Astyanax mexicanus: one gene and its partners. The main gene of each other region encodes a partner of the protein of the gene in region 3 in a complex. Links are inferred from orthologs where the notes say so. Each region holds a gene or a part of one and is shown on either strand. Other genes may lie near its edges. The genes, in order: cep290, b9d1, ahi1 and cc2d2a.

What was found.
Region 1: ahi1 (region 3) and cep290 share a complex: the UniProt entries of both Homo sapiens proteins name them as parts of the tectonic-like complex. The link is inferred for Astyanax mexicanus from reciprocal best matches to the Homo sapiens genes AHI1 and CEP290.
Region 2: ahi1 (region 3) and b9d1 share a complex: the UniProt entries of both Homo sapiens proteins name them as parts of the tectonic-like complex. The link is inferred for Astyanax mexicanus from reciprocal best matches to the Homo sapiens genes AHI1 and B9D1.
Region 4: ahi1 (region 3) and cc2d2a share a complex: the UniProt entries of both Homo sapiens proteins name them as parts of the tectonic-like complex. The link is inferred for Astyanax mexicanus from reciprocal best matches to the Homo sapiens genes AHI1 and CC2D2A.

What each region holds. Positions count from the first base shown.
Region 1 is NC_064417.1:17,363,101-17,370,650, forward strand, and holds the start of cep290 (centrosomal protein of 290 kDa), read right to left. Parts: upstream 3,023-7,550; 5' UTR 2,985-3,022; coding exon 2,889-2,984; intron 1-2,888. Other genes in the region: protein O-mannosyl-transferase TMTC3, read left to right, coding at 4,974-5,162, 6,371-6,589. UniProt on the Homo sapiens protein: Involved in early and late steps in cilia formation. Its association with CCP110 is required for inhibition of primary cilia formation by CCP110.
Region 2 is NC_064410.1:53,741,980-53,749,329, forward strand, and holds the start of b9d1 (B9 domain-containing protein 1), read right to left. Parts: upstream 3,022-7,350; 5' UTR 2,870-3,021; coding exon 2,807-2,869; intron 2,679-2,806; coding exon 2,610-2,678; intron 2,063-2,609; coding exon 1,951-2,062; intron 831-1,950; coding exon 734-830; intron 627-733; coding exon 564-626; intron 1-563. UniProt on the Homo sapiens protein: Component of the tectonic-like complex, a complex localized at the transition zone of primary cilia and acting as a barrier that prevents diffusion of transmembrane proteins between the cilia and plasma membranes.
Region 3 is NC_064421.1:18,203,611-18,210,795, reverse strand, and holds the start of ahi1 (jouberin), read left to right. Parts: upstream 1-4,173; 5' UTR 4,174-4,282; intron 4,283-4,991; 5' UTR 4,992-5,040; coding exon 5,041-5,050; intron 5,051-5,154; coding exon 5,155-5,279; intron 5,280-6,013; coding exon 6,014-6,582; intron 6,583-6,779; coding exon 6,780-6,889; intron 6,890-7,039; coding exon 7,040-7,185. Other genes in the region: lft2 (lefty2), read left to right, coding at 12-263, 768-1,092. UniProt on the Homo sapiens protein: Involved in vesicle trafficking and required for ciliogenesis, formation of primary non-motile cilium, and recruitment of RAB8A to the basal body of primary cilium.
Region 4 is NC_064420.1:12,025,252-12,033,076, reverse strand, and holds the start of cc2d2a (coiled-coil and C2 domain-containing protein 2A), read left to right. Parts: upstream 1-4,820; 5' UTR 4,821-4,967; intron 4,968-5,780; 5' UTR 5,781-5,909; coding exon 5,910-5,923; intron 5,924-7,825. Other genes in the region: complement C1q tumor necrosis factor-related protein 7, read left to right, coding at 676-1,304. UniProt on the Homo sapiens protein: Component of the tectonic-like complex, a complex localized at the transition zone of primary cilia and acting as a barrier that prevents diffusion of transmembrane proteins between the cilia and plasma membranes.

The DNA of each region.
Region 1 (7,550 bases), on a different chromosome or scaffold from region 3:
ATGTTCATTACATTTATTAGTTTATAGTTCATAAACTGTGAACTGCATTCATATTCTTAACATGTTTAATGCTACTAAAATGATGCAACTAAATCAGCTTCCTACAGTTGTAAGTTATCTTAATGTTCCCAAATCTTACTTGATGTGAATAAATATCTGTGTTTAACAAAAAAATATATATTCCTGTTGCAGGATGATGATGATGAAACAATCTCTGCTATATCATTTGATTAAACATGGTAATGTGTGTGACTGTCCGATAACAGAATGTGACTGGTGATCAGGAATCTGATGAGGAACCATCCATCTCCAAAGCTCAGCTTGGAACAGTGAGAATGCTTATGTCTCAACAAATATCAAAACCATTCTGGACACAAAGCTATTTATTTGAGCATAACATGGTATTTTCGTCTCTTTCTTTCAAGATGGCTGTTAAAGATTTATACTAGGTTCACCTAAAACAAAACAGACAAGACTGGAAATTGAGTTGCTAGAATATACATTAAAGGTGGGAGTAGTTGCTGTGATTGTATATTTGTTTTTATCAAGAATAAGGACAAAATCAGAAAATAAATAAATCGAAAACATAGGCAAACCCTGATGAAATGTACTGTATAGTGCAGACTCTCGAAATATCCTTGCATCATGTACAGAGCCTGGCCATTTGGCTTCAAAATTAGTAATAATGTTGGTAGCATCACATACACAGGAAATTTGGCAGTGTTAAATCAACACTGTTAGTGTTAAATCCACACTAAGAAGTGTTGATTTAACACTAATAAGTGTTTATTTAACACTAACAGTGTTGATTTAACACTAACAGTGTTGATTTAACACTAACAGTGTTGATTTAACACTGCCAAATTTCCTGTGTATGGTCTTAATGGAGGAGAAAATAAGTTTTTATAATGTATTAAATATAAGTCCTTTTTGTTTTTTAAAAAGTAGTAAATTTATGATCAGTACTTGTATATTAATGCTGTGGAAGGATTTTCTGTTTACATAATCTCCTTCATTTTCGGCAGGGGCTTTAATTTGAATGTGGGTTCCATCCATGCATCCAATGACTCCTAAATTACAAAATTTAAATATATAATAAATATAAATATAAAATTTTGCAGAGCTATTTATCTTTCACTTCCGATTTGTTTGATAATTTTGTAATCTTTGTTATAAAGACAAACCTGCAATTCTGTGGAATTCCTCTTTAATGTTCATTAAAGGCTTATGCCCAGGGAACACCACAAAACTGGACAACAACTGTTTTAAAGCTAGGCATACTTTGCTGCACTGCAGGCTGCACTTTGCTGCCTGCACTGTACAAAAAAAGCCCATTGGCAAAGAAACTGAGAGCACTGCATAAAGTCTGCAAAGATGTGAGGGCTGATCCACGATGCGTGATATTTTAAATGTGAGGCTTTAAAATATTGTTTAGGTATGAAATTGACTGCGAGGAAAAACGGTAACGTTTGAGGAGAAACTGAAAACACGTCTAATCTGGGTGAAATTACTCGTTCACAACAGAGAGCTCTGTGAATAATTTGCGCTTCAATATCAACTGGATCCGTTTGTATAAGAAAAGTGGGCGTAACCCTGCGTTCGGAGTAAGTTAACCTGCCAGCGAGCAGGTTAGCTTCAGAACGCAAGTTGCTACAGTAACTGACTCAGGTTCTCTCTTAGCTCTCTTTCTGGAACAGAAAACCCTGAGTTTCCGTGAACTCTAAGTTTACTAACTTATCCGGTTTTGTCACTTAACCCCCTTTCTGGAATACCCCTCTGGTTCCATCTTTTACAGCATGTTTTTTTCAGACCCAGAAGGAGCAAAGCAGCCCAAGATCATCCCACTACCACCACCATGTTTTACATATAACGTTAGTATGATTTTTCTGTATGGTCTTGTTCTGCAATTATGCGTTAGTTTTATGCCAGATGTAATGGGACAAACACTCACAATTTCCACTTTTGTCACATCATTTCGAAATAATATTTACCCAAAGTCCTAGGGATCATCAAGATGTTTTTGACAAATGTGAGACAGGCCACATTGTTTTTTTTTTTATGCCCATAGACTGTGTCTAGCTGGACAGAGCATCTTCTCTTAAAAGTGACCACAGGTCAGGCGCCCCCTGCTGTTCGGTTGCAGAAAGCTGTGTTTGTGTGGCAAACAGACAACTTTCAATCACATTTTTTAATATACTGTAATTCTACCTCATTTATTTAAATGCAGCAGCTAGTGTAACCTCTGCTTATATTCTATTTTTTATATCCCCACAGAATTCGTTTTAAAAAACGTTATTCAGCTCTATTCAAAAAGGTGTGGTTATTGTAAAGGGGCTGGGTTACACCTAGCCGGGGTGGAACCAATGACTGTATGCATGGAACCAGCCTGTGACCTACTGTGTATAGCTAGGTAGGTTGGTCACTCCTGGGAAGGTTCACCAGTGTTCCATGTTTTCTTCATTAGTAAATAATAGCTCTCACTGTGGTTCACTGGAGTCCCAAATCCTTAGAAATGACTTTATAACCTTTTCTTAAATGATAGATGTCAATGACTCTTGATATATTTTTTTCCAGATCTGAGCATAATGTGCGTTTTTTTAAGATATTTGGGTGGGGGCAAACAGCTAGATTGGTTTTGAAATCATAATTTAAAATATGTTTTTTATATTTACTCAGATTATCTTTGTATGATGTTAATGTTTGTTCAATAATCTTAAAAAAATAAAGTATGATAGAAATGCAAAAACAAAAAAAAAATCTGTAAAGAAAGCAAATACTTTTCATGCCACTGTATATCTAAACAAAATTTTAACATTGAGGATAGATGACATACCGTCTACAATCACTGAAACTTTACTGTTTACGGTATGCTAAGAGTTTAACGTTACCTGCAGAATAATATCACAGATGGTTTCCTCCTCTTCGCTTCCCAGAAGATCAGGATCAACAGTCATCACTGTTTTCCAGTCTGTAGTTGGAGGCATCTTGCGGTTTGTTTGGTGTCCAAAATCTGTCCACAGCCTCCAAACAGCCTTTATACTACAACACCAGTCACTTTAAACATGTAAAACTGGGGCTACTGTGGAGGATCCGGAAACAGTGTTAAATACTACCTGCTGAACCGTTGCCTGCAGGTAAACTGGTTTAATTTACGGTACTTTAGCTGGCATTTCAGTTAATGAAACGGCTGGCTATCTGGACAACAATGCGCCCGAGAAGAGAGTTTAAAGAAGATCAACGACAAAAAAACAAAAACAAAAAAAAAAAACAAGCTGACTTTTAGTAGCTTATCTCGGTTTTAGCTTTCTATTTAACTTGCTAACCAGGCTAATGTAACCTAACCTAACGTTACTGGATGAGAAAACAGAGTTGAATATATAACTTAGTTATAACTTAGATAAGTTATCAGTTAAGTTTACCATCTAAGACAGTCCAATAATATGGCCAGCTGTAGCCTCTGACGTCTGAAATTCTCCAAAAAGCTAAATATTTTACCCATTTTAGCCTTGCATTTTATGGCTGTACTAGCTAGTTAGTTGGCGTTAGCACTGTTAGCATTAGCAGGCTGGCTAGTCCCGTTTTCTGTGCTGTTGCTAGGCTACCGCTCAGTGGCGCTCCGCGGGCGGGTCGGGGACTACTAATCTACAGATCACGCGGATCGGTGGATGGCGCTGCTGTTCTTCAACTGCAGAAGACAATGATTTAAGATCAGCAAACGTTCTGGAGTGTAAAGGTTTTCATAATAAAAGTCCTCTAAATATTATTAATTAAAATAACAATTCATTCTATAAAAAAACGTCATGATATTTGAAATTACGGGCACGTGTTTTTAAATAATATATTCTTTGTAAATAAATAAAGAAATAAGGTCAGAATATGAATTCATGTTCCTCATCTGAACTCTTAAGCATTGCGACCCGGAACTTGTAAAAAGCCCATTAGCATTAAAAAAAATCTCGACTGCTGTTCCCGAATAAAGGCTGCTCTTGGCTTAAAACGCAAAAACACACAAACACACACGCTCTGTTTACGGTTTATCTCATCAAAGCCATGACAAGGTGGGTCTGTAACTTGTATAATGTGTTTTATAGATCTCATATGCTGCTGTTAGGAGCAAGGATTAGCTAGCTTCCTTTTTCAGCACCGTTAGCAGCAGTAGCTGTATCGTAGCTAATACAGTAACAGAAGATAATACAGTAACAGAAGCTGATTCAGTAACAGAGGCTACAGTAAGCTTTGCTGCACAGCTTTTCTACAGAAGGGTTGAGTTGTAGAGGTGGGTAACCCAGGTCCAGAAAGTAAAAATACAACCCAGGGTTTGCCCTGGGCGGCTCTGCTACAAAACTCTGGGTTGGATTTTACTTTCTGGACCTGGGTTACCCACCTCTAGTGAGTTGTGATCTGGAGCTGTTTTGATTAAGCAGGTGGTGCGTTAGTGGGTAATGTAGTTAAGGTAGATAGCTGCTAAAAAGAATGGCAGCATTAGGGAAGCTATTAGTGCAGCGACCAGCTGTGCCCTTATTGATACAAGGTATCCAAGACCCAAGGCAGCAAAGCAGCCCCAAGCCTTGATCCTCCCTTCACCATTATTGAAATGAGTTTTAGGTGTTGGAGCTAAACCATTTCAGTTTTTCTTAACATCTTTTCCCAGCCTCTATGTGGATCCATGTCTTTAACATTGCCTTTGAATTTTTATTTGTAACATGTATTTTGAGATATTCTGGAAGTTGTCTGTGTCGATAAATAGTTCACAATAAGAACTCTTTAAAAAGAACATGCTTTGTGTGCCTTTAGTCATGGGAATAAGCATTAGCAAACATTTTTTGATGTTATATTTGAAAATGAGATTTTTTTTGTGAACCATAGCTTTAATGGCATGACTGATATTAACAGTAATCTGAATCTGAACATTAATCTCTGATGTGGAATTGGATTTTTTTTTTTACAGTGCTCAATGAGGACTCACGTTAGTGATGGCTGTTGTGTTGTGGAAGGAGGCTTTCCTGTTGACTGGACTGGTGTTGGGGTGCTTCTGGAACAGTCTGCTTTGTGGTTTTGTGTTTGATGATGTTTCTGCTATTTTGGATAACAAGGACCTTCGTCCCTCGACGCCTATTCAGAACCTCTTCCTCAATGATTTTTGGGGGACGCCCATGTCAGAGGTAGGGTCCTACAGTGCACTGTGACACTGAGTTACATGATGCAGTTCAGCCATGCTGTTCAGGAATTTATTTAAAGGTCTCATTCTATTGTTTTTTTTCATTACTTTTAAATTGTCTAGTCTCTAGTATGAATAACAGCACTACAGCAGAGAATGATACCTGGCTTTGCCCCACAGTCAATTTTACAGCTTTAAAACTCAAAGAATAATTTTTTTTCAGAGATACAGCCTTAGTTGTAAAGATACAGCACTGAGTGCTGTATAAAGTTAACCCTTAAACTTTACTTAACGTCAGACAAGCGGCCCCGCAGCTCAAAGAAATGTCATCAATGCCAATTCTGAACATTATTTTTTTACTAGCTACTGCAGACAATGGAGGTTGAAGAATTGTTTCATATGCAGCATTCATATACAACTCAGAGAGACTTATAGTATTTTACGAAGAACAAGAAAAAGTGGATTTTAGCGGAAGGCGACTTTTAGTAATGACAAAAAAAATTAACAAATGGTACTGGACAGTACTGATCACATTTCACATCTGAATATTTTGCAGATAACAGTGTGACTGTGTCGGGTGTAAGCAGTATTGCAATAATTTACACACTAAATAACTATATTGGAATGGATGTTACAGTTGGGATTACTTGGATTTCTGCATAAATGGGTCATTAAATGTGTTTTAATCCTTATGTTAGTCACAACAATATAAAAACACAGTCTGCTTAAACTAATATCACAAAAATATATATATGGTTGCATGGTTTTATTGAACACAACAAGTATGTGAATTTTTGGATTTAATAACTGGTTGACCCGCCTTTGGCAGCAGAAACCTCAACCAAACGTTTCCTGTAGTTGCAGATTAGACCTGCTCAATGGTCAGCAGGAATTTTGGATCATTCCTCTTCACAAAACTGTTTCAGTTCAGCAATATTCTTGGGATATCTGCTGTGAAAAACGTTAGCATGTGCCAGAGATTTCTGTAAGTCTTCAGCTAAAACTCTAGGATTCTTTTTCACCTCATTGATCTTTCTGCGTGTACATTTACTTGCTGGCTGTACCTGTAGTCAAGGCACATTGCTATTGCGACCAGTCTTCCTCTGGAGCAAATCTGACAATGGCGCTAGTTAATATAGATGATTTATAGGAGCAGGGTTTTTCAATTCTTATGAGGATGGATGAATATGACTTTGCCGTCTTTCTGTGCAGGAGAGGAGCCATAAATCTTACAGACCACTCACTGTCCTCACTTTCCGCCTCAACTACCTGCTAAGTCAACTGACTCCTCTGTCCTACCACTTGCTCAATGTGCTTCTCCATGCGGCTGTGTGTGTGCTCTTCCTTCGCTTCTGCCGACTGCTGCTGGACCGCAAGACCAGCCTGGTGGCCGCACTCTTGTTTGCCGTCCACCCTGTCCACACAGAGGCTGTAAGTAAACAAAATAATATATGTGTGTACAGTATGTACAAAATCAAGCATCTTTATAAACATTTTTGAAGAGCTCTTAGATATTCCACGGTCGACTGAGTGGTATTATTAAGAAGTGAATGTATTTGAGATGTTATAAAGAGATGTTATGAAAGCACTAATAAAAGTAGTTTGTAGGTGCCCCAAGTGTTTTATACATATAGTTTTTAGTTCTTAAGGTAGGTAGGTGGATGGATGGATGGATGGATGGATGGTCCTGAAGCCCTGCTTGTTTATGATGTTCTCAGCTCACCCACGTTGAATGTTAATCTACATGGATTTCTCTTTTAAAAAAAATGTATGGGTGAACGAAGCGCTTCCATTGATTAACAGTAAGCTTAGAGATCTGGTATTTTGTCCAAAGTTGAGTGCCAGCCCCAGTTAGGAGCATAGCCAGCCCCAGTTAGGAGCATAGCCAGCCAGGGTTAGCAGTTTAATCAGCCCCGGTTAGCAGTGTAAGCCAGCTCTGGTTAGCAGCATAGCCAGCCCCTGTTAGCACTGTTAGCCAGCCACGTTTAGCAGTGTTAACCTCCCCGGTTAGCAGCATAGCCACCCCCTGGTTAGCAGCGTTAGCCAGCCCCAGTTAGCAGTTTAATCAGCCCCGTTTAGCAGCATAGCCAGCCCCACCGGTTAGCAGTGTTAACCTCTCCGGTAAGCAGTATAGAAACCCCCTGTTAGCAGCGTTAGCCAGCCCTGGTTAGCAGCGTTAGCCAGCCCCAGTTATCAGTTTAATCAGCCCTGTTTAGCAGCATAGCCAGCCTCAGTTAACAGCATAATCAGCCCCTGTTAGCAGCATAGCCAGCCCCAGTTAGCAGTGTTAACCTCCCAGGTTAGCAGTATTAACCTCCCCGGTTAGCAGCATAATCAGCCCCGGTTAGCATTGTTAGCCAGCCCCGGTTAGCAGTGTTAACCTCCCCGGTTA
Region 2 (7,350 bases), on a different chromosome or scaffold from region 3:
TTTATTTAGGTAGGTAAAGCGCTTCCATTTATTTACTGTAAGCTTACATTTCCAATATTTTCAACAGCGCAGTCAGAAGCAGAGCTAGCCATGGTTAGCAGCTGTGCTAGCAACAGTTAGCAGCGTTAAGCGCTAATAAATGCCACCCAATAGCACTACACTGAGAAACCCTGAGTGATCCAGTAAGCCAGGGTGCTATTAGCTAACAGTTTGTCCCACGTAGCTTGTTTTAACACGGTAAACATTCTCATATACACACTTTTGAACGGCAAAAGGGCTAGTGCTGCAGTTAGCTGCTAATGCTAATACTGCTTCAGACTCTGTGCTGAAGAAACTTCACTGAAAATCTGTTAAAACGCTGCACTTCAGTGGAGTGGCTTTACTGTTCCTTACAAACTGAATTTATACATAAGATGCACCGAATTTTGGGGAAAATTAAAGAATTTAAAGTGCACCTTGTATTGCAAAAAACATGATAGTTTAATTCATGGTAGTTTAGATGGTGTTTAATTTATGTCTAGAGTTCATGTAAATCGTAATCAGACTGTTGGTTGCTTTACTACCTTGTGAATTTCTGCAGTCTAGACGTGGATTCAGGAACAAACATTGGAATGGTCCGTGTGTGTCTGCAGGAAGAGTTTATTAATATGTGAATTAAACAGAACAGACATAAAGCAAACAGATGAAACTCCTCTATTCATGCATTACGTTCCAATATGAACATCCCACTTACTTTCCTGGGGTAAAGGGAATGTGTACTGCTCCATAACCTCTGACAACATCATTGCCAAACGTGTCCGGTCCATAGACACTAACCACAATCTGAGGCCCTATAAAATCAACACAGTTACAATGGAGCTCAGTCGCATGTATTACAAGAGCATGCAAGAGACATTGTGCAACTAAAATAACAAAAATTCTTGTTTTTCAATATACAGAATAAATGGAAATTGAAAATTTGTCAAAACGGAAGGTCACCATAGGACCACCACAGAGCAGGTATCATTTGGGTGGTGGGTCATGGTGGTGGTGTATGAGGTTGTTGTATGTTGTGCTGGTATGGGTGAATCAGATACAGCAGTGCTGCTGGAGTTTTTAAACACTGTGTTCACTCACTGTCCTTCTATTCAGTAATAAAACTCTTGCGCCAGGACTGCAATTGAAAAAACAGGAGGACGATTGGGTTTTTAGGCCTTCTCGGTCACGTGATATCACGTTCAGTAGCTCCTCCATTTCCACTCGCTGCTGTCCTTATGGGGATCTTCATTTTCTCCTTTTTGGGGGTCCTCTGTGATTTTATTCCCGACTGGAACGACCATGTGTTTTTCTCAGACGTCCTCTGAGAAAATTACAGGCTGAATTACCTGCTGTTTTTCACTAATTTTAGTTCCATTTGGACGCACATCTCCGAGTTTCGTCTCCTCGCGTTTAATAAAATAGCTATTTGTCCACTGCCAAGCACCCATGATTACACTTTGGCCACGTGTTTCCATGGAGAACCAAGTAAACACCACAGCAAGTGGACATGGAGGAGCTACTGAACGCAATATCATGTGACCTAGAAAGCCAAAAACTCACTGGTCTTCCTTTTTTCAATTGCAGCCCAGATGCAAGACCTCTGTGGTGGTCCTGTGGAAGGAATACAGTAATTGTATAACTATAAGGTGCTCTATATGATCAGTGGAGCTGATAAATATATATAAACATATACGTGGGTCCAATTACATAATGAGACGAACTGGGAAATGGAAGAACTATGTAAAAAATTATCCAAGTGGATCTACACTTCAATAACATCTTGACTGCTTTATTTCAAATCCAGGTTGTGCACAGAAGCAAAGGTATATTCCAACTATACTTGGAAACCTTTTTCATTTCTAAAGTTCAACATATAACAAATAAACACTTCAAATTGTATCCTTATATTTAGTAACACATAGAAATACATACATCCAAACGGGTTGGTGCTTTTGAAAGTGATGTCGAGAGGAAAGTTCCACACCAGACTCTGAGTGGAACCTCTGCCCTTCGATGTTATCTGAGATATTCCCTCCTCTAAGCCCTGCAATAAGGTAAAGGTATTTAATTATTTCATCAATAAATAAATTAATATAAAGACAAGCATATAGAAACAAAGATTCCAGCTCAAGACCAGCTTTTGCTGGTAGCTGATTTGGCATAGTCTGAGCTGGCCTTTGATGCTCAAACAGCTCTTGACCTGCACAGTGTATGCTGCATTGGTAGTGTACATTAACATTAGCTAAATATTCAACATGAATATAGCTAACATTCTGGATTTAAGAAAGGAGAGGGGAAATAATAAAACGGAGCCCTTGGTGACATCATGTAAAAAAGACGTGGCCACAACTTATTAAGGCGTGGGAATGAGATCCTAATCCGTGGCTACGAAGCTAAAATGTGGTACGTGTTAATTAAATAGCCACAACTTAAATTAACTTAATTATCTTACTCCCACGCAGTTGTGGCCAATCATTAGGATCTCATTCCCACGCCTTAACAAGTCGTTCATTTGTTTTCAACATGATGTCACCTTAGGGGCTGCGTGATAAAAAGAAAAGCACAGAGTGATAAATCTGGATTTTACTTACTGAAGTTGGAGCCCAGTCGTGTCCGTAAACAAAACAGTATTTACAGTATAAATCATCGTATTCTGGAAACTAGAAATAAATGAAGAGATTAAAACATAAACAGCAGCAGCTTTAGTTACTTTATTACCTTTATTTAACTGAGTTTAATCACTAGATAATCACTATTTATAGATCCGTTATTTTCAGTTCAGATTTACCTGCGCGCCCTCGATCTGCCCGCTGATCATCAGCAGGAACACGGAGGGGTTTGGGGAGGTCATGTTCAGATCATTAATAAAACAGTAAATATTAATATATCCCTAGTTTCATTAAATTAACTGATCCTCTCTCCTCCGCTGTTTACATAACTACAGAAATGGCTGCTGGTTGCTAACGCCGCTCCAGCCGCTAAGTAGCGACGGCTTTACTACTGGGGCCTGTGAGGTCCAATCTAGATGAAACGCGATTTGATTTATGCATCTGTCCTGCCACTAGATGGAGATATTTGACAACAAAATTACAGTAACATAATTTATGCTGATCCTATTTTAACCCTTTGATGCGCAACATGTATTAATATATAGTAAAATATAATATAATAATATTATATAATAATATTACACTATATAATATAATAATTTTCTATATTTTAACAATAAATTAGTTTAGTAATTCAGTGTTGAATGTATTTCTCAATTAACTTGTTTTTGATCTTCATACATCCTTGTTTTATTTTTACCTTTCTTATTTAAAAAAAAAACCTCACTTGGAGATGCTCAAAAAGACACTTGGAGATGCCCAAAACAACATTTAGAGATGCCCAAAAAGACACTTGGAGATGCCCAAAGTGACATTTAGAGATGCCCAAAGAGACACTTGGAGATCCCCAAAGAGACACTTGGATATGCCCAAAAAGACACTTGGAGATGCCCAAAGGGACACTTGGAGATGCCCAAAAGAAAACTTGGAGATGCCCAAAAGGACACTTGGAGATGCTCAAATGGACACTTGGAGATGCCCAAAGGGACACTTGGAGATGCCCAAAGGAAACTTGGAGATGCCCAAAGGGACACTTGGAGATGCCCAAAAAGACGCTTGGAGATGCCCAAAAAGACACTTGGAGATGCCCAAAAAGACACTTGGAGATGCCCAAAGGGACACTTGGAGATGCCCAAAAAGACGCTTGGAGATGCCCAAAAGACACTTGGAGATGCCCAAAAAGACACTTGGAGATGCCCAAAAAGACACTTGGAGATGCCCAAAGGGACACTTGGAGATGCCCAAAAAGACGCTTGGAGATGCCCAAAAGACACTTGGAGATGCCCAAAGGGACACTTGGAGATGCCCAAAAGAAAACTTGGAGATGCCCAAAAGGACACTTGGAGATGCCCAAAGGGACACTTGGAGATGCCCAAAAGAAAACTTGGAGATGCCCAAAGGAAACTTGGAGATGCCCAAAGGGACACTTGGAGATGCCCAAAAAGACGCTTGGAGATGCCCAAAAGACACTTGGAGATGCCCAAAAAGACGCTTGGAGATGCCCAAAAGACACTTGGAGATGCCCAAAGGGACACTTGGAGATGCCCAAAAGAAAACTTGGAGATGCCCAAAAGGACACTTGGAGATGCTCAAATGGACACTTGGAGATGCCCAAAGGGACACTTGGAGATGCCCAAAGGAAACTTGGAGATGCCCAAAGGGACACTTGGAGATGCCCAAAAAGACGCTTGGAGATGCCCAAAAGACACTTGGAGATGCCCAAAAGACGCTTGGAGATGCCCAAAAGACACTTGGAGATGCCCAAAGGGACACTTGGAGATGCCCAAAAAGACGCTTGGAGATGCCCAAAAGACGCTTGGAGATGCCCAAAAGACACTTGGAGATGCCCAAAGGGACACTTGGAGATGCCCAAAACAACACTTGGATATGCACAAAGGAAACTTGGAAATGGCCAAAAGGACAGATGCGTAAAAAGACACTCGGACACTTGGAGATGCCAAAATGTCTGTTGGAGATACTCAAAAAGACATTCAGAGATGCCAAAAGGACACTTGGAGATGCCCAAAAAGACACTTGGAGATGCCCAAAAAAACACTTGGAGATGCCCAAAAAAAACACTTGGAGATCCCCAAACAGACACTTGGAGATGCCCAAAGGGACACTTGGAGATGTCCAAAAGGACATTTGTAGATATCTAAAAAGACTTTTGGAAATGCCCAAATTACTCTTGGAGATGCCCAAAGGGACACTTGGAGATGCCCAAAGGGACACTTGGAGATGCCCAAAAGGACACTTGGAGATGCCCAAAAGTACATTTGGAGATGCCCAAAAAGACACTGAGAGATGTCCAACATGACACTTGGAAATGTCCAAAGGGACACATGGAGACGCCCAAAGGGACACTCGAAGATGCCCAAAGGGACACTTGGAGATCCCCAAAAGGACACTTGGAAATGCCCAAAACAACACTTGGAGATGCCAAAAGTGACACTTGGAGCTGTTCAACACTTGAAGGAAAGAAGGAGGAAGATGGGGAGGAGTTGAGTGTGAAGTTGTTCGACATCCAGGTAGAGAGGAAGTGAGGGTTTATAGAGGGTGGAGAGTGGGAGGAGTAAGGGTGTGGGTCAATCTCCTAAAATTAATTTATATTCATAACTCCACTTATGAAATCTTACAACAATTTGAATGCCTTGTTGTTGGTGATCTGGCAAAAAGAAGATATGAGGATGTCAATAAGCTCGGTGATTCCACAATAATAGTGGAGAGTGGCTTATCTCATACCTAGAGATAAACAACATCAAAAACATATTTCTTTGCCTGTTCACTCTCTGTATCGATCACCCACTGCACAGGCTTCTTTAAAAGCTGCTTTTCTCTGTCTGCCAGACAAACAGAGCATGTGCTGCTTCAAAACCTGAGTAAAAGAGAAACAGAGACAGAGGCAGGTTCAGAGAGACAGTGTTTATGTTACCGTGCTGCAAAAATCAATAATTTTTGAGTCTTGGGTTTATGTGTTACCTAAACACTGTACCAGCACCCAACTACAGTCTATACTCTTATTTGGGTGGAATATTTGGGAGGAAACCCTTAAGGTAATTTAAGCCTTTTAGAAAGGCTTTCTCTAAAAACCTTTTCTTGAAGGTTCCTCAAAGCACCTTAAGGGGGTTCCTCCACACTTCCAAATGGAAGAACCCCAAAAAGTATCTCAAAGATCTTATAATTTTAACAGTGTACAGTAAGCGAACCAGGCTTGATCGTCACTGTGTGGCTCAAGCGCGTCCCAGTTTGAGCTCTCCTCGTCTTTCGCCAACCGTCCCTCTCTGGGACCAGCTTCTTTGACTCTCAGCCACTATTTATAGCAACAGACTTGTCTGCACTACTTAAAAGTCCTCTGCGGAACCTCCATCTACCTTTTTTTAGATACAGGATAAAGGCAGCGAGAGTCATTTCTGTGGGGTGGGATTTTTTTCTCACCTCTTTCCTCATCAGAGTGGCTTTGAAGTGCAGTTCATTACTCCTTCCCCCTCCTCTCAAACCTGTGGGGGAGATTCATGTAAGACGTGGTCAGAAGTTGTAGAGTGCCCAGAAATGACCTGATGATAATGGGGTCTGCAGACCTACTTCCATACCCCAAATCTCAACACCATTAGAGAGCCAGATCCATTTAATTTGACATTTCTAACCAGCTGACATTTTCCAGTGTCACCAAAACATCCACCAACTGTCCACACACTGCATCAAATGTCAAGGAAATGCCATGTGCCCAGAGGCTGTTTTGAGGAGGGTATGGCTGGGACGTCCTATGTTTCACCAGATCCCCAGCTCTGTTACACCAGACCACAGACGCCTGTACTAATTAGCATTAATGTGGAAATGATGAGGGCATTTCTAAGAGAGAAACATCTATTCACCCATAGATATACTCCCTTACTCATCCCAAAAGTATTGAATGGAGCACCATCATTCCACAGAACAAATACCTATACCTGTCATTAGGCACAATGCCTATAGTAGGTGTATATTTATCTGCACCAGAGCTCAGCTGAATGCATTGATTAAAAGGGTGGTGTCAGCAAATAAAAGTGTCGATTGGTCGATATTCTTTAACTGATGCATTCTAGCTGAGTACTAAGACTTTCCCTGGTGATTTGTTCTGTATCGCTGTCCTGCTGAGTTGCTCTGTTTATTTACATCTTAGAGTAAGTGCAGACAGAAATGATCCTGATGATGATCTTTAAGGATATAGATGAAAGCATTAGTCATGTGTTTGTTTTTCTGATGTTTATGGACAAATCAGTTTCCATACTCTGTATGAAGTGGCTGTAGACTGGCTAACGTCCTGAAGACTCAATTCACAACCCTGAAGCGCTCTAAGTAGCTGTTTGACCTTCAGATGCCAGACGTTTTTGTGGTCAAATCTCATTTGGGCCTTTATCCCAATGCACTGGATGTACAATTGCCATCGATTTACGGCCCCTCTCCCGTCTCCAATCATGTTTAAAAGTGCAGTTTATTATAAAAGCTTATCTTTAATATTGCTTCTCCATTAGCTAGAGTGCAGCTACGTGACAGTGTAATGGCCTATGTCAGACACAGATGAGTGGGTCAGAGTGGATCTGCATGCGTCAAATTACAGATAAAGGATGTAGGTGTTCCACTCCAACCACTCCTTAATTATGTATGCATGGGGAAGTGGCTCTGCATTTGATGCTTTTAGGAACCTTTCCTTTAATAAATAATGAGAGAAATCATTTTCCCCCCA
Region 3 (7,185 bases):
TGTTTTGACAGGTTGGTGCCGCTACATGAGGCTGGCTGGAGGAACTTTGACGTGACACAAGCTGTACATTACTGGTCAAAGTCCCAAAAGAAATCTCCAATGCATTTGGAAGTTTGGATTGAGGGAGAGAGGCCTGGCAAACATGCAGCTGAAATGGCAAAAAGAGTGCGCTTCACCACACAACACAATCCGGAAAACACCCTCACCAAAAGTGCTGGGACACCTGAGCTTGTTTTATACACGCTAAATTTGGAAGAATATGGGTAAGTTCACTTAAATTGTCTTACAGTCCTTTCTGTTTTGCTGTTAGTGAGTTCTTTTGAGGTAATGTTGAGGTGTGTGTTTCTGTTGTTTTTGTTAATTGAAGTATTTTAGCAGCTTAAGTTAAATCAACATTTCTACAGCTGTAAAGTGCGTTTTGATAGTTGTGAATTGACATCATTAACATGTGTTACATTGCTAACTGCAGTAATAAAGCTGTGAATAACCATGCTATCAAATATCTATTTCAAGTGTGGATTCAGCTATTCTGAGCCATAGCGGAAACTTAAAGAAACTCTTGTTTATTCCACTTTCAGCTAATGCTAATATGCTAGTATTGTTAGTATTCATTCTAAATAATTAAAATTAATGCAAAGTTAACATTAATCATATTACATTCTGTCCCATATTACCTGAATCCGTTTTTAGTACCTGCTTTAAGTATAAATAGCAAACAGCTGGAAAGGTCCAAATAGAGCAAAGTATTAATAATTCCATCTCCACAGGTCTCCAGGAGACTGCAGACAGGGCGCAGACAATGTGATGTGCTGTCGGGAGGAGCACTACATAGACTTCAGGGAGCTAACCTGGACGCAATACTGGATCATTGAGCCTGCTGGATACCAAGCCTTTCAATGCCAAGGAGGGTGCAAGCAGCCCAAGCGCAGTTACGGCTACGGGCAGAGAACCTGCAGGGTTGCACAGACAGCACCACTGCCAGTCATGTACCTGGTGAAGAAAGGAGAGCACACAGCAATCGAGGTGGCTGAATTCCCAAACATGATTGTTGAAAAGTGTGGATGCTCCATGGACAAACTCTTTACGGCTTAAGATACGGCAACACTCGACAGTTCACCCAAGCACTTAAAAGACTTTATGTATATTATAATCTTGAAATGCTGTTAATTTGTTTTTCTCTATAAAATGTTATATGTGTGATTCACTTATATTTTTTTAAAAATAAAGCAATTTATTTTCAAATTCTTGTACATTCTTCATTTATACCATTACACTGGTTTTAATAGCTTAAAGAGGTCGCAGATTGGAAATGCAATAAAATTTTGTTGTATTGGACATATAATAAAAAACAAAAGTGCATACTGTTAACAAGGAAATAGAAAATTAAAGGTAGTGAGGATCATACGAAACAAGGCAAGATAAAAATATATACAGTACCAGTCAAAAGTTCACACCTTAAATTCAGCAGTTTTTCATTATTTTTAAATGTATTAACTATTAACTATGAAGAAAAAAACATATATAATTATTTAATAAACAAAGGTTTGAATACTTTGAATGTCTTGCCCTCTGAATGTGCTTGAGAGCATCAGTTGTGTTGTGAAGAGGAATAATTGGTATACAGTGATTAACAGTATACCAAAGTTAACAGCACCCCAGATACATGCTACCTAAATGCTTCATGTATTTTGGTTTAACACTTTTAATTTTATCTATTTTATCTATTATGTGTTTCCTTATAGTCTGGATGACGTTACTATTCATTTACAATGTATTTACAATTTAATTTACAATTAATACAAATGTGTGTCCAAACTTATAATACAATAAATACCAATACAGATTTTGCTTAATTAGCACAAAACAGTTGCTAGACAGCAGCAGTGATTGTACATATTATTAACAGTGTAGTGTAATCATTGACCATTTATAATAGTATAGCTTCATAAAATTAGTAATTAGAAAAAAAAAATGTAATAATTTAGTGTCATTGTAACGTAAAGCCAATAAACCTTTCATGATTAATTAATTATGAAAGGTTAATAAAGGTTTGTTAAAAAGAGAACCCAATTTAGAAGTTACAGATTCAACACAGTGAACATTAACACATTTAACATGTGTTAAACACACAACTCAAAAACAATAGGTTAAATGTGAAATAAATATGATTTTATTATTGAAACCCTATTGTGTATGCCCCATATTGCAAAATTGACCTGATGGCTCATAAATGCTTAGTCCACTGTACACTGTAGGACATAATAATAATCATGCTTTGTTAAATTATTTTAATTCTTTTTTATTCATTCGTTCTTTCACTTTGTTGGGTCTGTAACCAAATCCAAGCAATCTGACAAATGGTTTCACAAAAATAGGGCAGAGAACAGTATCCTCTAATCCTCAATGTGCTCTATCAACTGCTGAACAATAGATCTAGATTGCTAGACACAACAAAGGGTGAACTCAAAGTTATCCAACATTAAATAATCTGTTTTCAAATAGGTCAATAAGAGCAATTTGCTCCTGAACTATCCCTGCATTGCATGTTTCAGGCACACAACATACACCTAAGTTTATCAGGTCATTAACAGACCACTTAGTCCATTATTGACCCTTTGAATTTGCACAAAGAATTTGTCTTTGGATTCACAAAAGTTAAAAGCATTTTAATCTAGTGTGCAACCCCCAAGAAATTATTAATAATTCAAAGTCCTATAGACCACACTTTGTGTGAAAAATAAAGTATCTTATTGTCAGTCTATTATTTATCTTGCCACCCTGATTATCCTAGCCAGTTTACTTTTACTTACTAAAGTTAAATGCCCATAACACAGAGAAATATTAAACATTAGGCGTAGGTAATACGGCCCTAAAATAACAATACAAGGTTTTTTTATAATAACAGTTTTCTTGTTAATATTACAACACTTCAGTAAAACATCTGTTAAATGTTCTCTATTTGCAGAAAAAAAAGTTACTTACCAAGACAATTATACAATATATGTCAGACATACAACAAACCATCCAGAATTGTTTGTATGTAAAAGGAGATCAATCAGAATCAATCAATAAATAGATTTACGATTTAGGGCTCATCCCCAATTTATTTTTATATTTTATGCAGATTTTTTTTTCTGGTTTGTTCTACTGCTCCACTGTATGATTAACTATCCTCACATTGCTAATTTTAACCACTCTCATATGTTTTCTCAAAAAACTTAAGACTTGAGTTGGGCAGTTATTTTAGGAAGGTGTCAATATGAAAGTTCACAATATATTAGTGCAACCCAAAAAATAGATAATCATTAAAAAGTTAATTTATTTCAGTAATCCAGTTTAAAATGTGAAACTCGTATATTATTTAGATGTCTTACACACAGAGTGATATATTTTAAGCATTTATTTCTTATATTGTTGATGATTATGGCTTACAGCCAATAAAACCCTCAAAAACAGTGTAAATTTAAAAGTGTAAAATTAAATCTGCATCACGGATCTCCTTGTAGAAGCTGCACTGACTTTGGACTTGATATAACACAGTGGACCAACACCAGCAAATGACATGGCTCTCCAAACCATCACAGATCAACAGTAAATTCTGCATTTTATTTGGAAATCAAGGGACCAGAGTCTGGAGGAAGAGTGGAGACGTGCACAGTCTAAGCTGCTTAAGGTCTAGTGTGAATCCACACTGAGTGAAGGTTTGGAGAGGTGTCATCTGCTGTTGTTGGTCCACTGTGTTATGTGTTTTTTCCCTCTGCTTCACTCTCCCTCTGACAGCTGTTATGGAGATGCGGATATCATTTTCCAGCAGGACCTGACACACTGACCACAGGGCAAAAAGTATCAATTAGTCTTATATAATTTAAAAAAATTCAGAGGCACTGATTTCTGGGTTTTTATTGGCTGTACGCCATAATCATCAACAATAAAATAAATAAACGCATAAAATATGTCACTCTCTGTGTAATACATCTGTATAATACATGAGTTTCACATTTTAAACTGAATTACTGAAATAAAGTTACTTTTTTCAATGATATTCAATTATTTTTAGATACACTTTTAGATGCTCTAACGCTGGCTGGTGAGAGTCAGACACGTTGCGCATGTCTGTTTGTTCCACCAGAATGCGCAGTCTGATTCCGCTTTTTATTGGCTGTCTTTGAGGTAACAACACACAAGGGGCGGGGCTAAAACTTGTTTATTGTTGGCTGCCATCGCAACGAGTCAGCGGCTAACGGACTGTAAACGTTTTCATAGGATATGGTTTGATTTTCAGGTAAATAATCCTGTTTTGTACAACAGACACTTTTATTAACTACGCGACCCATCTAAAAAAAGGCGGGCTGTTACACTGGGGTCGCTGTTAGTTAAGGAATTAACTGGCTAGGCTGTATCCTACTGTAGTAACACGTTAGCCAGCTAGCAGTCCTGCTAATCTATGGGACAGTGTTTTCAGTGAGAGAGCGGAGATTCATTCTCAGGGGGCGGCTAATGTCCTCTCGGGCGCCGTTATAGCCGGGAATGTTAAACCAGGCACAGCAAGTTCTGTTGTTGAGTGGAGTTTAGAAACTGAAAATGGCCTGTGGCCCCTTTTTCTCTATGAGTGTAGCTTATTTAGTGTTTGGTACTGCAGTAGAGCTAGCTAGCGTTAACTCAGCAAAGTCAGCACCAGACAAGATTGATTTCGCGGTTAGCTGATCAGCTAGCTCGGTTACCTAAGCTAGGCTAGCAAGCTGCCTTACATCATGACTCCTGTACCGAGCTATTTTAACCAGCTTAAGCCAATAGAATTCACTAAAGGCTAATTAAAGCTTCTTCTGGATTCAAAACACTGGCTGTCTCGTTAGCTAGCAACAATCTAGCTAGCTAACTACATTTGAACCAATAATCGGCTAGCTAAACTAGATAGGTTAACTAAGTTACTTCTCCTGCTTTGTTTGACAGTTTAACTAGCTAAGATAAATAACGTTAACCTATGTTTTCAGTTTCAGGGATCTTTTGTGCACAGAATGACTTTGCTCCCAGTGCTTGAGGATGCCGGCAGGTAATCACACTTTAATTAATGTTACCATCCAAACCATACCAATCCAAACATATACTGATTACCTTGCATGTGGACGGGCAACTAATACTGTTTGTGATGAACAGGTCAGAGTGATGTGAGAGCAAAGACTAGAGCCCGTTTTGACGAGGTGTTAAAGAGATACACAAACCCTCCCTCAGAGAAAAAGAAGTCCAAACAGCGAGGAGTCGAGCTGCAGGAGAATGTTGTGGTAGGTTACGTGGTTATGGAATGTTTAGGGCTATCAAATATGAAATAATAATAAAATAATAATAATAATACAATTATTTTCTCTCAGTCTTGATAAATAAAGTACCAGCTAAAAGTTTGTCTGTTTTTTGTTATTTTTTCCCCTACAATGTTAATGAATACTGAAGTCATCCAGACTATGAATGAACACATAAGGAATCATGTAGTAAACTTCCAAGTGTTTAACAAACCAAAATACTCTGTGAAGCATTGAGGTGGCTCTTATCTGGGGTGCTGTTAACCTGCAGTTCTGAGGCTGGTAACTGAACTTATTGGTCCTAATGAGTGCCAGTTTTATCATAATGTTTTGATTGGTCTTTGCAAGTGCATTTGAGGATGCTTTCAAAGTTTCGGATTTAATTTTTTAAAGTATTTCTAAAGTATTTTTTTTTCCTTCCTTAGTTGAGAGGTCTTGCCATAATATGAATTAAAACATTACTCAAATAGGGCTATTTAATATATACCAAGTCTACATCTTCACAACACAACTGATGCTCTCAAACTTTTTAAGAGGGCAAGAAATTCAAGCAATTATCTCTTGACAAGTTCAGCACAGCTGTTACCTGAAAGTCATTCCAGGTGACTACCTCATAAAGCTGACTAAAAAAATGGCAGAAAAAAAACATGAAACATGAAACAACAATATCTTACTCTGTCATATTTTAAAACTTGATTTGTTCTTGTAATCCCTTTTAGCTTCAGACATTGAGCAAAAACTTGGATTTAAGTAAAACCACAGAAGAAGATGAGACCATTCTCAATAACACGTATGACCCTACACAGGGTAGCCCAAGGTACACTAAGAACAGACGCAGGGAGGTCGAGGTGTCAGAGAAGATCAATGTCAGCAATAATGTAAATGGAGAGAAGTCCCCACTGGCCTCAGGAAAGAAGAAGACTAAAAGAAAGCTGCCCCCACACCCACTTGTTCAGGATGAAGTAGACACAGACAGAAATGCTGCAAACTCTGAAACAAAAGTCACTGTTGAACCAGACTGGGGGCAGAACAGAAAGGGTAAAAGAGGGAAGAGCAGAGGCGGAAACAGAGATAGTGGACACAACGCAGGCTCTGAACCTGAAGATGATCTTCTCAAAGAATATCAGCAACAGATTAGTCAAGATGAGGAGAGGGCTATAAAGAAAACAACTCATAACAGACAAGATGAAAAGTTGCCCAGGAGCCAGGAAACCTCAGTATTAAACAATGAGCTCGGAAAGAAGAAGAAAAAGAAGAAGAACCTGAGGGGTAGTGATGAGGATGAAAGGTAATTTACAGAAAGCATTTGTTTTTTAGTCGTTTGTGTGTGTGTGTGTGTGTGTGAGAGAGAAAGATCTTGTTCCTTAGGTTTTAAAGCATATTGCAAATATTGCATATAATGCAAGTGATCCTTATTCTTTGTTTTTACATTACCCAGTTATCAAAGCTTTTATATATTTTTTTTCCATTGAAATTTCACCACAGCCATTCTGAATTTGAGAAAATAAAGGAGCCTATTCAAGGTGATGCTGTAGAAGAAGACACCGTAGATACAGCAAAACCCAAAGGAAAAAAGAAGAAGAAAAGAAAAGATGGTAAGTCATGTAACACCTGCCAGTCATTCTAGTGAAACTGTAAGATTTATGAAGTATTTACAATTTTAAGAGTATCTAACGCAGTTAGGTTTACCATGCATATGGTTATAGTTTAATATTTAGGCCATGTTTCTGCTTTTTTGGCTAAAGTGGTAGTTGAGGACAGTCAGACAGAGGTGGAGGATTCTCAGAGGCAGGTCTTTGATGAAAACCTGGTGCTAGGAGTTTACATTCATCGTACAGACCGACTCAAGACTGACCTTCTGGTGTCCCACCCCATGGTCAAAGTGCATGTT
Region 4 (7,825 bases), on a different chromosome or scaffold from region 3:
TAAGTACGTAAAGACATGTGACGTGGCCAGAAGAACTCCCCAGTACCCCAGTTTTTATAAAAAATATATATTAGTCTTAGCAGGGATGGTTGTTCCAGCACACTGGTACCATTAAACACAATATACACATATATAACACATAATATGGACTGCCACTTAAATATTTAGTTCAAGTCTTTTGCTTGCAATAACTGAATCAAGTCTATGACCCATTCAACTTTTGCAGTCTTCTTTAGTGATGCTTTTCCAGGCTTTCACAGCAGCCTGATTCAGGTGGTGTTTGTTTTGGGGCGTTTCTCTCTTTAGACTCCTCATTAGCAGGTAAAATGCATTCCTGATAGGTTTTAAGTCAGAAGATTGACTATGCCAGTCTAAAACCTTCCAATTCTTACTTCTGATGTAGTTCTTTGTAATTTAGAGTGTTATGGTTCATTATCTTGCTGCACGATGAAGCAACTTTCTTTAAACGAACAGACAAAATGCTTCTATAGACTTCTAGAGTTCCTTTGTACATAAATAAAGTTTAATGGGTATGTTCCAGAAAAAGCCATGCAAGCCCAAGCCATGACACTGGACACCTCCACTGTGTTTCAAAGATAAGCTCTTATGTTCAGGATCATGAATTCTGGTTTGTTGTTATTTTAACCCCTGCTTGTCCTGCTTGTGTTCTCTCAGGCATTAAAGGAAGAGTGGGGCCAACGGGTAAACTCGGCGAGCGTGGAGAGAGAGGACCCATAGGGAAGCGAGGTCCGGAGGGTGATGCTGGAGACTCAGGACCCCCGGGACCACCAGGGTCACCAGGAGAGCGAGGAAAGAAGGGTCAACGGGGACCACGGGGCACCCCAGGCACGTGCCTCTGTGGCAGCCTGGTGCCCAAATCAGCCTTTTCTGTGGGCATCACCAGCAGCTACCCAGCTGAGCAGTCACCAATCAAATTCAACAAGGTCCTTTTCGATGAAGGTGGGCACTACAACCCGCAGACTGGCAAATTCATCTGCGCATACCCAGGAGTCTACTACTTCTCCTATGACATCACACTAGCTGATAAGCACCTGGCCATCGGCCTAGTGCGGAATGGAGAGTTCCGTATAAAGACTTTTGATGCCAACACCGGGAACCATGACGTGGCTTCTGGATCCACAGTGATGTACCTCAACCCAGAGGATGAAGTGTGGCTAGAGATCTTTTATAAGGATCAGAACGGTCTGTTTACTGATCCTGGATGGGCGGACAGTCTCTTTTCAGGGTTTTTGCTCTATGCAGATACTAATTACCTAGATACATTGTCAGAGGATTACACTTAGACGTAAATAATGAAGCATTCATTAGAGAGATGTTTCTCAACCCTGGGCTTGGAAGATCACTGCCCTTCACTTTATAGTGTTTACTCTGCTTCCAGCACACCTGATACAACTAATTAGCTCATTAAAAGTGTAAGGATTGGCCCCTGGTCAGGGCCCCCTCCAGCCACCAGAGGGGGGCCTCGAGTAACACCGTCACTTGGGTCTGTTTACTATCTGATTCAGAGGGCTCACTTACTAGAGCGAGCCCAACCACTACAAAAAGCCTAAGACTTATTCAGTAAAACAGTGGAAAAACACTAAACTGTTCCGGGCAATGTACCTTTAGGACCAGGGCTGAAAAACACTTCCATGCACAGAATTAGGCTTTTCCCAACTATATCTTGCCACAGTGTATGTAATTTATAGTAAATTGTGACAGACAAGTGTCTGTACCATTATTTTTCCATGTCCCAAAAGGATTTACAAGTGTTTACAGTAATAATTTTAGACTAAGGATAAGCTTAATGTGGTGTTAGCAGACCTGGACCCATGTAACACAACATGTACCAAGTTGGAGTTTCTAGTCTTACAGTTATTTAGCCCAGAAACACTGTGTATATGCAATGCATTTTCTTGTTCAGTACAGTGTCATGGTCTAGTATGTGGTGCTTTTATATATATTTCTTAAGATAAGGTAACTAATGTACAATTTAATTATGAAAATATTATATAATGTCTACATTACTGTAATTGAATCTGATGGTGGAACATATATTTTGTATTTATTGTAACAGTTGTATCAACACATTGGTACATAAGATACTTTTGTAAATATATATATATATATTTATACATTATACATATATAATACAGTCTATAAAAACTTTGTACAGTCTATAAAAAAATTACATTGTTTTTACTGCTCTGTTCATTGGATCTGAAACCGAACAATGTTTAGTCCCTTGAATGCAGTTTTGACAGTTTTCAGATAGTACTGTTCCGGAGGCTTAGGATGCAGGGCTGAGTCTTGGCTGTGTGAACTGTGATGTATTAGCTTGCATCATTAGCTTATTCATAAGAGTCCTAAAGTCTAGGTGTCACATCATTTGAAGTCTCATCATTTGTTTTTCTTTTCTGCAAAGAAAAAGTGTAAATGTCAGTAACACAGTCTGTCATGAGGATAAACCAACTACAGAGATACACACATTACGGAGGAGTTAATAAATAACCATTTTAAGTGTGTAGATATAATATACTTCTCTATAATGGAAAGTGCATTTCTTGGTTCCTCCTACAGTAAATATTCCTTGGTTCCTCCTCCGGTGTGTATTCAGATAAAACATGCAGAGGGGAATTTCCATCTTTACATGATCATCATCATCAGCTGGAATGCATATTTTCAAGCCAATAAAAACACTACAGGTATGTGTATGTGTAAATCATAACAGTAAGAACATGCTCTGATCCTGGAACAAAAATGTTTCACAAGACTCATTGCACCCGTATAGCAACCACTTAGCAACACCACATTAACCATAGAATTATTATCTATAATCCTCATAGCAACCAACAGGCATACCATAGCAGCATATCAGTTGTTGTACCTTTCACACTACATGACTTACAGGCAACACAGGGTGTGCTTTATCAGTTCCTCTGTAGTAAAACCACGGTTTGTTGCGTCATGTGAAAACCATGTAAGCAGACTTATCTGGCTTCTTTTCAACGACACGTTTTGTCATGAGAACACGGCAAAACTAAACATGTACAGAACTAGAAATACCTCTTGAATGGAGTACAAAATGAATAGGTTCATATTGTTGCTGTCCAATGTTTAGTTCACTACATAATTTGAACACACAAACTGTCCCTTACACTGTGCCAACATTTATTGACTACTTTAAAATGACCTGAAATAAATACATTTTACATTGACTTCTATTAAAACTTTAGAAGTTTTTTTCTTCTTTAGAAGATTCTTGTTTTTCATTGGACAGCAACAATATGGAGAAACTGAGCAAAATCAGAGTTAAAGTTTATAAATGTCTGATAATTTTAGACTGGCTGTAACTCCAGCATCAGCTCACCAACCAGTCAGCACAGAGTAGCAGTATTGCTAGCGCCTAAAACTTGTTTTCTGTATGGAAATGTATGCGTTCATTGCTTTACTAGTAAAATACATTATTCTGCTTTCTAAAATTAAAGAAATACTATTTTTAATTTAAGTTTTTAGCTTTTAGCTAAAATTCGCCCCCATTCTTCAGGACTCACTCACAAGTTCCCTCTACTATTTAACAGTGTTTTCCTGATATAACAGGGGAAAGAGAAAATACAGAAGAAACACTTTCGATCCGTTGTTCTCTTATTCTACGTCATTCCATTTTACCCAGTAAATGTAGCAATATTGTTACTGTGAGCTGACTGGTTGGTGAGTTGATGCTGGAGATAAAGGCAGGGCATGTTGAAAAGACTTATAACTGGAGTTTAAAACCATTAAAAATTGTCTGTGGTACTGTAACATTTGATATTGTTCTGTGTTGACAACATTTATTAATTAATTTTATTTGCCTAGTGTCTGCGACACATCTGCGATCACTCTTTCAACCCTGGGTGAGCGTCCTTCAATACTGTATACTACACAAGTGTGAGAGCTACAAGTGATTGCTGATTTGCCTCTGATCAAAGATTTTTGTGTGTGTGTGTGGGCGTGTGTGTGTGGGGGGGGTATGTCGGCAGAGGCTGAAAGTCACTAATAAAGTAACTTGAAAGTAATTTTAAAAAAAGAAAGAAAATCAAGTAATCCATAACATAACTTTTGCATGTAACGTTTTTCAAGGGGTGATCAGTAATCAGATAAATATATTTTTTTATATTTTTATCCCATTTTACCCTCTCATTAGGACTCCTGCTATCACTAGTGATGCCCCAACACCAGGAGGGTAAAGACACAAGCTCAGAGGAAAGTGCAGTGACTCGGTTCAGATACATCAGCTCACAGACGCCTTATGCTGAACCACGTCACCCTTTGGTGTGATGTGGGGAGAGAGTGCCATGTACTCACCCAGAGAGATCAAGGCCAAGTAGCTGATAGCAAGTTACATGAACAGGATTCGTACCTGCAATCTCCCATTCATAGTGGCAGCACTTAGCCCGCTGGACCACTCAGAGCCCAGATTACTTTTTCTGAGTAACTATGCCATCACTAATGGCAACCACCAGTAACAACCTACTGACAGTTTGGAGTCAACCCCATAGTAACCAGCTTAGCAACCATATAGTACCATCTTAGCAACAGCTTAGCATCCCCATAGCAACTATCTAGCAAGGGCATTTTTGCCCAAGTATCCACTAGAAGCAAACTAGTGAATCTGAATGGAAGTGGGAAACACTTCTACTTATTCATTCAGTATTTTTCAGAAAACGCACTTTTCTGTTTTTATTACCTTTTTTTTAAACATTTTTTTAGAACAAGATAAAACACAGCTTTCTTTTGAACTTACCTCATCGCAGTTTGTTGAGTGACAGTGTCCTTGGCCAATGAGAAGACGGGCCGCGAGATGAGACCCCGCCTCTTTCAGCATGCAGGGTAGTGTGTCGCGCTGTGTGAGCGGTTCGGTTGAGGGGAAGTATTTACCGTTACCAGGCAGCGGGGGAACAGGATGGCGGCTAACTCTCAGTGTTTCAGTAAGTGTGGAGAAATAAACAGGAATAGATACCGTGTTAAAGCATTTATAAAGCTATAAGACCTGCTCAGTTTTTAAATATCACAGCGGAGTGTCGATAACAACCGCCTGGATAACAAACACACGCGCTAAAGCTGTAATTTTCACTAGTTAACCGAGGTTTACCTAGCTAGCAGCGGGATTAGCTTAGTATCCTCTGTGTATAACCTAACGGTACCGTTTCTGTCTCCAGTCTTGCTCTTTTATCCGTTAACCATATTTTATTTTTTGTATTTAGACAGAGCTGACTGAAATATAACTCAGTATGTCTCCTCGTATGAGCGACTTTTAACGTCAAACCTGTTGCTAAACGCAGTTCACAGGTTTGTTAACAAGATATCTTTTTTTTTTTATCAGAACTCTTCAGGTTTGCTGTAACGTTAACGGTTTAACCCCTTAACAGGCCTTGGACTGTAACTTACATGGGCTACAACTGTAGGTGATACAAACCCCTTTTCTCTACAGTAAAATAAGTTATTTACATTCTGAAAACACAAGGTTTAGAGAACAAAAAAAAAAAATCATTTGTATTGTCAACAACATGGATTTTAAAAAGTTTTGGAAAGCACCATTTTTTAGGCATTATGCCTAATTTTGACAAAAATATATATATATATTTCTCAACAATATTTTTAATCATTTCCAGTACAGTTACAGTTAGGATTTTCTTTAGTAATGCTTGAATAGAAATCCTCAAGATTTATGCGTGCAATATCATTGATTAAAATGCTGGCCTGTTAAAGGGTTAAATATGCTGTTCTCTGTATGGTTTCAGGTGAACCCTGTCGTTCTCTCCAAAGAAAAGCTTCGACTCTTCTCTCACCTGCCCTCTGAAATGTAGTAAACACAATCCACAGGCTGAATATCATTCAGAAGAGAATAAACTAGAACCTCCTCCTCCATCATGTCCACTCCCAGGTGAGCAGCACTGGAGCTAACTTATTGAAACAGTAGTAGTAGAGAAGAAATGATGATACCAAATATAGTACCAGTCTAAGTATTGGACACCTATTTTCAGTCATTTTTTTTCTTTATTTAAATTATTTTCTACATTGTAGATTAATATTACAGACATGAAAACAATTAAGGGACACAGTCGAATTACATAGTAAACAAAAAAGTGTGTCCTCCACAATCCCCTGATCTAAACCCTGAAAATGGGCTTGGTGATTTGGGATGAGCTGGAGCTTCGAGGCGTAAAGGAAAAGCAGTAACTATTGTTCAGCACTAGGGTTGCAACGGTATGAGATTTTCACGGTATGATAACCGTCTCAGAAAATACCGCGGTATCACGGTTATCACGGTATCACAGTTTGTTACATATATTATTAAACTGACCCTTAAAGAAATTACAACAAAGGTTTTTTGTTCAATTAACTATTTATTGTAGAAACCTGGAACAACTATATAGATAATGTCTCCTTAAAAAAAATAAACTGTACACCATTAGGTGAAGGAAACCAGGTTTTTCCACTACTCTTAAGGTCATTAAGGGTGTATATAAAAAAAAATATATATATATAATATATATATATATATATACACATACACACACACACACACACACACACACACGTGTCACACATTACATGTCCTCTAAGAAGTAAAGATCCTGTGTTTAAACTATTCAGTACAATTATTTAAGTTTAAATTATACAAGTTGGTGTATAACCAGATACTGCAGAAAGAGGGTATTTATTTCTGACATAATCCTCACAATAGAGATTTCTATTTTAAGGCTTTCACACCGAGTCTGGTTTTAACACATGAAAAACAGGCACGTCAGAATTTGAAAATTAACGCATGTAAATGAATGGCGTCTTTCACATCCAGTCCGGCGAGCACCTTTACACGGACACGTGAATCCGTCGTAGCACACACTTCACGCCTGTACCTGCGTGCCCAAATTTCGGATAACTCAGCGCTTTTGCGGGCGCTTACCGCATGGGTTGTGCACGACTACAAAGAGATTTTATTTATGTTCAGATTAAAATGATAAACTAAACACATACTTTGCGCTGCACGGCGGGGTGGTGTTCTTGGAGATGGGAGAACAGGTTTGACGTATGTCCACCTTTAGCTGTGACTTTACGGCCACATTGATTATAAATCGGATAACCATCCTCGGGTGCGTTCGGCGGGTCTCTGAAATAGTCCCACACTGCTGATTTTAGTTTAGCCTTTTTTTGGCCGGACGGAGATTTGTTTAGTCTGATGCACTTTCTGCTGTTCTCACCGCTGTGTGCTGAGCAGCTGAAGCGGAGCAGAGTTGCGCATGCGCGGGTGAGTTTCTCCGCTGGCTTGCGTTTTACCGGTAATAAGCAAACACACACGGTATGATAACCGTGCATTTTAATACCATGGTATACCGTGAAACTGGTTACCGCTGCAACCCTATTCAGCACCTCCAGAAAATCCTTCAAGGTGCTGAGAAAACTATTCCAGGTGACTCTACCTTATGAAGACACTGAGATTAAAATACTAAGAGTGTGCAGATCTGTCCTCAAAGATAAATGTGGCTTTTTAGAAGAATTATAAGTATAAAACACACTTTTCGTCTACTGAATAGTTCAGCATGTGTTCCTGTATAGGTTTAATGTCTTAAATATTAGATTTACAATGTAAGCACATTGAATGATAATAATAATAATAGTAGCACCCAGGCTAACTAAAAACATGAAAGCATCATGTTTTTGCCCAAACCTTATTTAAGTGAGAAATACATATTGAGTTGTGATTTGATTGCTTTTTACTGAAACAAAGTAAAAGGATAAAAAATAGCGCTTGTGCCCTATATCTTGGCAGAAGTGTACAAAACCT